Linked DNA regions of Caenorhabditis elegans. The protein of the gene in region 1 interacts with the protein of each later gene in a pairwise test. Each region holds a gene or a part of one and is shown on either strand. Other genes may lie near its edges. The genes, in order: col-71 and wee-1.3.

Region 1 (3,916 bases):
AAATCATAATTTTACGTTAAAAAACGTAAAAAACTGTCCATTTCCGGGTTTTTTCGACGAAATTTCGTCGTTTCAAGTGAAAATCGATCAATTTTCAGCATTTTTTTGGGGTTTTCGAGTCCAAAATCATAATTTTACGTTAAAAAAACGCAAAAACTGCAGATTTACAGGATTTTCGGCAAAAATTCGGCGTTTTGAGTGAAAATCGGTCAATTTCTACCGTTTTTAGCGAGTTTTTGCATTAAAAATATCAATTTCCAGGATTTTTGGCAAAATTTCGCCGTTTTGGGTGAAAATCGGCCAATTTTTATCCTTTTTAGCTCATTTTTGCTCTAAAAATCACGATTTTAACGTTAAAAACGCAAAAACTTGAATTTTTTCACAAAAATTCTTGATTTTCCCGTACTTTTTCTTGGCTTTGCTCAACGATTCCTCATTATGCAAAATCTCGTCGACCATCGTCTTTTTTCGCTCTTTTCGCACCATTCTACTCGAATAAAAGTCTTCTGGAGCGTCAACGACTCGTCCAACCTGAAAAATCTCGGATTTTTTGGGAATTTTTTAAATTTTCTCGAACTTGGAAGTATTTCGGCAGTACAGCCCGGTCATTTCGACGATAATGAGCCAATGGATCGAGAGTTGATCTCATTTGAAGGAATTCCAAATCTCGTTTGTGCTCATCGGTGAGCTCCGTCGCTGGAAGGTTGAACCAAGCGGATCCTTTGGTTTTTTCGCGTTCTGACTGGAAAAATAGCGATTTTTATTGGATTTTGAGCGATTTTAATCGAATTTTCATCGATTTCAACGCACTTTCTTCAGCCTGGCGGCCGCATTCCGGCCTAAAAGCCTATTTTGAGGCTGATGATCGCCTTCAAACTTCGGCCCGACAACTGACTTTTCCAGAAGCTCCTGCAAGTCCTTATCCATCTCATATGGCTCCAAATAGGATGTTCCGAGCAGGTCAACTGCCTCAAAAGCTCCTTCTTTTGGCGCTTCTTCACGTACGGCTCTGTCAACGACGAAATCATCGAATTCCTCGGCGACAGGCTTCTGAAAATCGATTTTTTTGGTGCTTTTCTGGGAAATTTTCGGTTTTTTTCGCTAAAAATTTGCAAAAATCGCCGTTTTTTGTGATTACTTGTTGCTTTTGCTTCTTTTTTGGAATTTCCTCGTCGGAATCCGAATCTTCGCTGCTTGAAACGTCGGGATTCTGCTGTTTTCGTAGCTTTTTGAAGTAGAGCGCAGACATTTTGAGCTGAAAATCATTCAATTTCAATTTTTATTCGAAAAAACTGGCGAAAAAGAGCGAAAACCGACGAAAACCCGGTGAAAACCTTCGAAATAAATAAATTAAATTAACCATATTCGCAATGGAGCGCGGATGCAACTCGTGGCCTAGAAAACTCCAACTCGGCCCCGAAGAGGAAAAACTCCAAATTTTCAAGATTTTCTCGGGAAATTGATGGGTTTTCGGGTTTTTTTGAGGGAATTTCGAGCAGAATCGATGCTTTTTAAGCTCCAAGCTTCAGAAATTGCGAAAAATCGGCAAATTTCAGCCAAATTCCAGCTTCAATGACAAAAAACTTTATAGAAAAGCTTCTAATTATATCGTTCATTATCATCTTTGACGTCTTTAGGGAACACTTTTTTCCAGCATTTTCCGCCGAAAATCCGATAGACCACACACTCTGCGTCTCCACGGCGTTACGTTATCTCTCGCATGCGAACCAACTTTTTCACCGATTTACCGGTCGTTGGCGATTTTCGGCGGCTTTAAAATGCGCAACGCAGGCGGTGATAAGCCATTCTCCACACCCGTTTTGCTTCGCGAAATGGGCTTGAAGACGCACGTTGATGATGATCCGAAGACTAAGGTGAGCGGTCTATTTCGAGTAGGCCTAATAGGCTTTCTAGGCCGTATAGGCTTGCCTTGTAGGTCCTCTAGGCGCCTGCCTTGTGGGTCTTCTAGGCCTTCTAGGCGCCTGCCTTGTAGGCTTTCTTGGCGCCTACCTTGTAAGCTTTCTAGGCCATCTGGGCGCCTGCCTTGTAGGCTTTTTAGGCGCCTGTTTTGTAGGCCTTGTAGGCCTTCTAGGTGCCTGCCTTGTAGGCGCTCTAGGCCTTCTAGGTGCCTATCCTTTAGGCCTTCTAGGCGCCTACCCTTTAGGCCTTCTAGACGACTGCTTTGGAGGCTTTCTAGGCCATTTAGGCGCCTACCTTAGAGGCCTTCTAGGCGCCTGCCTTGTAGGCTTTCTAGGCCTTCTAAGCTTATAAAAACTAAAAATCCATATCATTTCCAGGCCTACCGCCTTATCGGCTACGCCGCCGTCACCTTCTCCACAGTCTCGGTGATCTGTTTCTGTGTCACAATGCCAGTTGTCTTCACCTACGTCCAATCGGTAAAACGTCAGATGTCCCATGAGATGGCCACGTGCAACGTCAATGCTCGTCAGATTTTCGATGACGTTGCTGCTCTGCGAGCCGGCTTCCCATTCGCACAGGCAGGCAACCGTACCGCCCGTCAAGCTGGATACGATGTGCATCCGAGCAAGCCAACGCCTGTCGGATATAGTGGTGGAGATGCGGCTGCGGCGGAGGTGAAGGGAAATAGCCCGGCGGCCGCCTACGAGGATAAGCCGTTTGTTGCTGTTGGAGTTGAAGGTGAGGTTTAAGCCGTGTAGGCCTTGTAGGCGTTGTAGGCGCCTGCCTTCTAGGCCCTGTAGGCTTTGTAGGCTGCTTCGTAGGCGCCTGCCTTGTAGGCGATCTAGGCCTTCTAGGCGCCTGCATTGTAGGCTTTCTATGTGCCTGCCTTGTAGGTTTTGTAGGTCCCTGTCTAGTAGGCCTAGCAGGCGCCTACTTTATAGGCATTGTAGACGCCTGGCTAGAAGGCCTTCTAGGCATCTGCCCTGTATGCGCCTGCCTTGTATGCCTTGCATGCTTTTTAGCCGCCTGCCTTGTAGGCTTTCTAGGCGCCTTCCTTGTAGGCATTGTAGGCTTTTTAGGCGCCTGCCTTGTAGGTCTCGTAGGCCCTGTAGGCGCATGCCTAGTAAGCCTTTTAGGCGCCTGCCTCGTACGCTTTCTAGGCACATTCCTTGTAGGCTTTCTAGGCGCCTGCTTTGTAAACCTTGTAGGCTTTGGAGCCGCCTGCCTTGTAGGCGTTTTAGGCTTTAGAGCCGCCTGCCTTGTAGGCGTTGTAGGCTCGCAGGCGCCTGAGTTGTAGGCTTTCTAGGCGCCTGCCTTGTAGGCCTTTTAGACAGGCGAAAAAAAGAAAAAACCGAATTTTTCATACAGCTTCAGGCTTTAGAAAATGTGAAAAATTGTCACATAAGCTCCGCCCACTTAATGGTCAAAATGGAGTTTTTGCGATGGAAAATCCGATTTTTTCAAAATTTTCACTCCAAACAAAATAAAAAATTCCAGAAGGACCACACACCGCCACCACGGGCTCTGACTCCGAAGGAACGTGCCACGACTGCTGCCTTCCAGGCCCACCAGGCCCACCAGGACCTCCAGGCCGTCCAGGACCAAACGGAAAGGCCGGCGCCAACGGACTCAACGGAAACCCAGGAAGACCACCAGAGGCTCCATGTGAGCCAGTAACCCCACCACCATGCCCACCATGCCCAGCAGGACCAAAGGGAGCCCCTGGACAAGCCGGGTACCCGGGAGCCGACGGGCAACCTGGATCGCAGGGAGACAATGGAGAGAAGGGATCAGACGGTGCTGCTGGAGAGAAAGGACGTCCAGGACCACTTGGAAAGATCGGAGAGCCGGGAGCAACTGGAGAGACGGGAGAGAACGCTGAGAATAGTGAGCCGACTCCAGGACCACAAGGACCACCGGGAGCCATTGGACCAGTTGGATCACGTGGAACTCCAGGACATCCTGGAGAAGATGGAGAAGCTGGAGCTCCGGGAGC
Region 2 (3,916 bases), 6.2 Mb from region 1:
ACATTGGGTCGAGTAAGAGCTCTTTAAAGAGCGGAAAAGCTTCTATGAAAGTCGAACCAACGGATGCTTCGATTCATGATTCGCTCATTAGGCCTATCTCGGCTCCTGGTACAATCAGTTCGGAGAATGCGAATGTTAATGTGAAATCGGAACGTGAGGCGTCGAAATCCAATCCAAATATTCCACGATCTGAGAATCTACTCGATACAAAATTGGATCGCCAAGAACTTGCGTCCTTCCCTCGGAATATTCAACAATCTGAAAATCTGCAATCAGCGCAAACTTTCCCAGCTGTGAATCGAGGAAGGAAACGCCAAATCACTCACGAAAATGCCGATAATGCGAATCCGGCAAAGCGGCCAGACTTGGCAATTCTTTAAGTGTCCAAATTGGAATTACAAACTTAAATTTCAGATGGCGAGTCACTTCATGATGCTGAACATCAGGGACAAACATGTGGTGCAGCGAGCGACGAGAATTCTTCGTTTCTTGGGGTGAATATTTGGTTTAAAAATGAAATAATTACAACATTTATTTTAGGATAAAAGAGTTTATCTTCTCGGATCCAATCGCTCAAAGCGTCGCAAATGAAAGTCGATCGGCCGTCGCGTTCACCGTTTCCCCAAAGGATTCCGCAAAAATTTTGGAAAAAAATCAACGACGAGAACTGGATTGATGTTTTCGATTGCAAGAAAATAAAGGAGCGCAAACAAGAGTTCTTCTGGTACAAGCTGGATCCTCTTGATTTGGCCAAAGCAGTGGCAATGGCTTCACAGTAATTGATTTTTCTCATCTAAATTATAAAATCATTGCTATTTTTCAGAATGAACGACAGAGGAGTCATCCCGTATCCAACACCAACGCTCAATGATGCCCTCAATGACCATGCTGCTTTGATCCGCGCACTGAACGATTCATCGATCAAAAAGTTGTTCAAAGAGGTCAGATTTTTTTGTACCATGAGAAAACGATTCAGCACAATCCGCAATAATCCAATTTCAGTCAAGCGAGAGCCCACCAATTTCTAGTTCAACATCAGAAATTCAAGAAAATAATTTTTAAATTCATTTGTCAAATATCCCATTTTAATTTAAAACCATGTATTATAATATTTCTTTAAACCCCAACCATTGCAAATATGTGTAATTTTTAAAATCTATTCGCTGGTTTGATTGCTTATTGCACCCACTTTTTTATTAAATATGAAAATTCTATTGGTAAAATAAATTTTAACTCTTAAATTTTCCTGTTTTATAAAATTTTCCTGTTTTATTTCCCTTTGTTCTACTTTCAATGCTGTATATCTGACTTTCTGCGGTGTTTAGGTAGATGATTGCTCTTGAATTGACAGGCCGTATCGGAGAGTCTTAAAAGTTTTCATCTGCTAAACCGGTTTGTAGTATGTAAATAGTCCGACAGATCCAAGCTACTGAAATTTTGTTTAACGTGATGTAATTCACATTATTATTATTGAAATTTTAAAAAAACACTATTTTTCTTTGGGTCTGCTAGACTACAAACTACAAAACATATCTAGCAGATAAATTGTCTCATATCGCTCATAGAAGACCCACTACAGTTTAATATTGAACCCTTTCTTCGGCAAAATTGGTCATTCCGGTTGAACACCATATTTAAAATTATTTTTTGAATATCCCGCTGTTTTCCCCTGTCTAGTCTGCATTTGAGCGCCACGGTGTTTGCACAATGTGTCTTCTCCTCTTTCGCGCGCTTGTTTTGAATTGCAATCGCCGTTGGCAGAATTGTTTGTTTTCTCGCTGTTTTGTCGCCTCCGCCTAATTGATTATTCATTCCTTCATACTAATATTATCTTATTATAGTAATTTCAATGTTAATTCCAATATACTCTCAGAAATCAAAAGGTTTTTTAGTTGAAAACGTTCCAAACACGTTATTATCGATTTCTCTCTATTTAGCATCTTCTCTGCACCGCAAAAATCTATTTTAAAAAATTTCTGTCGATATTAATTTTGATAAAACATGTTATTTATTTTCTTTGACCTTCCTTCCTTCTTTTTTCCGCTGCGTATGATTAATTTATTCATTTTCAGTGAAAATGGACGACACAGAGGGTAACTCCTCGATGGATTCCATTCGAAATGGTCAATCAAGTCCACTTCCACAGGTCACTCCACGCTTACCACAAATCCCGATGATGATGCGTGAGACACCACTTTCCACAAAACGTGAGCGCCAAGCAATTACTCCACGTTTCCGTCGTCCAGCTCCGAAAATGATAAAAACTATGCCACCAACAAGAAGCATTTGGTCTGTTCGGAAGGAGTCGGTCCCACTTTTGGTCACTCCGCAGGGTATGTCGAGTTGATTATTTTAAACATTAATTATTTTTGATAAACCCAACACATCTCAAGCATTTTTTCAGGACCAAAACCACTGGAATCGCCAAAGTACGATCATACAAATGCTCAATCATTCTTTGAACAAGTATTTCAAATCGATGAAATCATTGGAAGAGGCTCGTTCGGAGAAGTATTCGCAGCCAGATGCCGTGAGGATTCCCAATTGTATGCTGTCAAAGTATCGTTAGCTCCGATCCGGCAACATTCAATTTCCAAGTACCGAGAAGCTGAGAGCCATATGATCATTCCACCGCATAAGAATCTTGTCAAGTTCTACAGAGCCTGGGAGGAAACTGGTCGATTGTATATTCAAACAGAACTTTGCGATCAAAGTCTTTTGAAATATTGTACAGAGAAACATGCACTACCGGAGGACGAAATTTGGAATATTTTCGTAGATTTGCTCCAAGCTGTTCATCATTTGCACTCGAACGACATGATTCATGATGATATTAAACCGGAAAACATTTTTCTTACAAAGGACATGATATGCAAACTCGGAGATTTTGGTTTGGTTATTAACCTTAAAAATGTAAGTTCATACTTTTTAATATTCTGATTTTATTCAATCGATTTTCAGCCAAATGATGTGAAATCAGCGGAAGAAGGTGACTCGAAATATCTTGCTCCAGAAGTTTTGAACGGCCGTCCCACGAAATCATCAGACATTTTCAGTCTAGGAATGACAATTCTTGAGGCTACTACTGATCTTGACGTTCCATCAAATGGAGATTCGTGGCATCAAATCAGAAATGGACAGATTCCTGATAGATTCTTCGCTGGAATTTCTACAGATCTTCGCAGTTTAATTGCCTTGATGCTTGACTCTGATCCGAGGATTCGTCCAACAAGTCGAGATTTGCTTGATCATCCGGTAATCAAGAAGAAGCTCATGAAGCGTGGAACCTATGTAAAATGCATTTCAATTGTAAGTTATAGTTTTGTGAATGAGGGATTTTGACAATCACTGGTTTCAGCTTAACGGCTTTTTCTACGCCTTCAGTGCTGTTCTTGTCTGGGTAATGGCTTTCTTCTCGGTGCTCTTTCATCCTATTGTTCGCTTCCATGCTGCAATTAAAGACCGGCAATCGGAAATTTGTGCGCAATTTGTCAATGTAATAAGTTTTTTTACCCAAAATTTTATCAACTCGAATTTTTCAGAATCAGCAGCACACTCCCATCCAAACTCCAGAGACTTCTAAAGTTTATTTGGAATCTCTTACTGGAGTGGCTGTTCGCCAAGCATCTCAAATTGTGTCTCCTTTCGATTTTTCCGATGATGAGAATCCACCAAACGCGCAACGCCGTTTGTTCACTGGTGCAGTGCCGTGTCGCTTGAACTTTGATAACGATCAAGATGACGATGAGGAACAGGCGACTTGCTCATCATCAAACTCTTCAGCTATTGAGCCCCAATTGGATGAACCGGAGAGTCCGCCGAGAATGAACGATGTTATTGATAAACTTGGAAAACGGTTGGTTTTGTTGTTAAATATTCAAAAAGTTTCTGGATTCTCTATTACCAACTGCTATTT

Evidence for each region.
Region 2: the proteins of col-71 (region 1) and wee-1.3 interact in a two-hybrid assay, tested with the Caenorhabditis elegans proteins (one large-scale study listed by BioGRID).

The regions. Positions count from the first base shown.
Region 1 is NC_003280.10:3,500,307-3,504,222, reverse strand, and holds the start of col-71 (Cuticle collagen 71), read left to right. Parts: upstream 1-1,652; 5' UTR 1,653-1,778; coding exon 1,779-1,874; intron 1,875-2,177; exon of another isoform or gene 2,178-2,297; coding exon 2,298-2,658; intron 2,659-3,417; coding exon 3,418-3,916. Other genes in the region: Y49F6B.2 (Fcf2 pre-rRNA processing C-terminal domain-containing protein), read right to left, coding at 407-531, 578-742, 811-1,050, 1,139-1,249. UniProt on the Caenorhabditis elegans protein: Probable cuticular collagen-like protein. Nematode cuticles are composed largely of collagen-like proteins. The cuticle functions both as an exoskeleton and as a barrier to protect the worm from its environment.
Region 2 is NC_003280.10:9,714,624-9,718,539, reverse strand, and holds the start of wee-1.3 (Membrane-associated tyrosine- and threonine-specific cdc2-inhibitory kinase wee-1.3), read left to right. Parts: upstream 1-2,072; 5' UTR 2,073-2,077; coding exon 2,078-2,333; intron 2,334-2,404; coding exon 2,405-2,913; intron 2,914-2,961; coding exon 2,962-3,309; intron 3,310-3,358; coding exon 3,359-3,496; intron 3,497-3,542; coding exon 3,543-3,856; intron 3,857-3,916. Other genes in the region: Y53C12A.11 (PRE_C2HC domain-containing protein), read left to right, coding at 1-368, 415-494, 541-676; Y53C12A.6 (uncharacterized protein), read left to right, coding at 765-775, 824-941, 1,003-1,062. UniProt on the Caenorhabditis elegans protein: Acts as a negative regulator of entry into mitosis (G2 to M transition) by phosphorylation of the CDK1 kinase during oocyte maturation.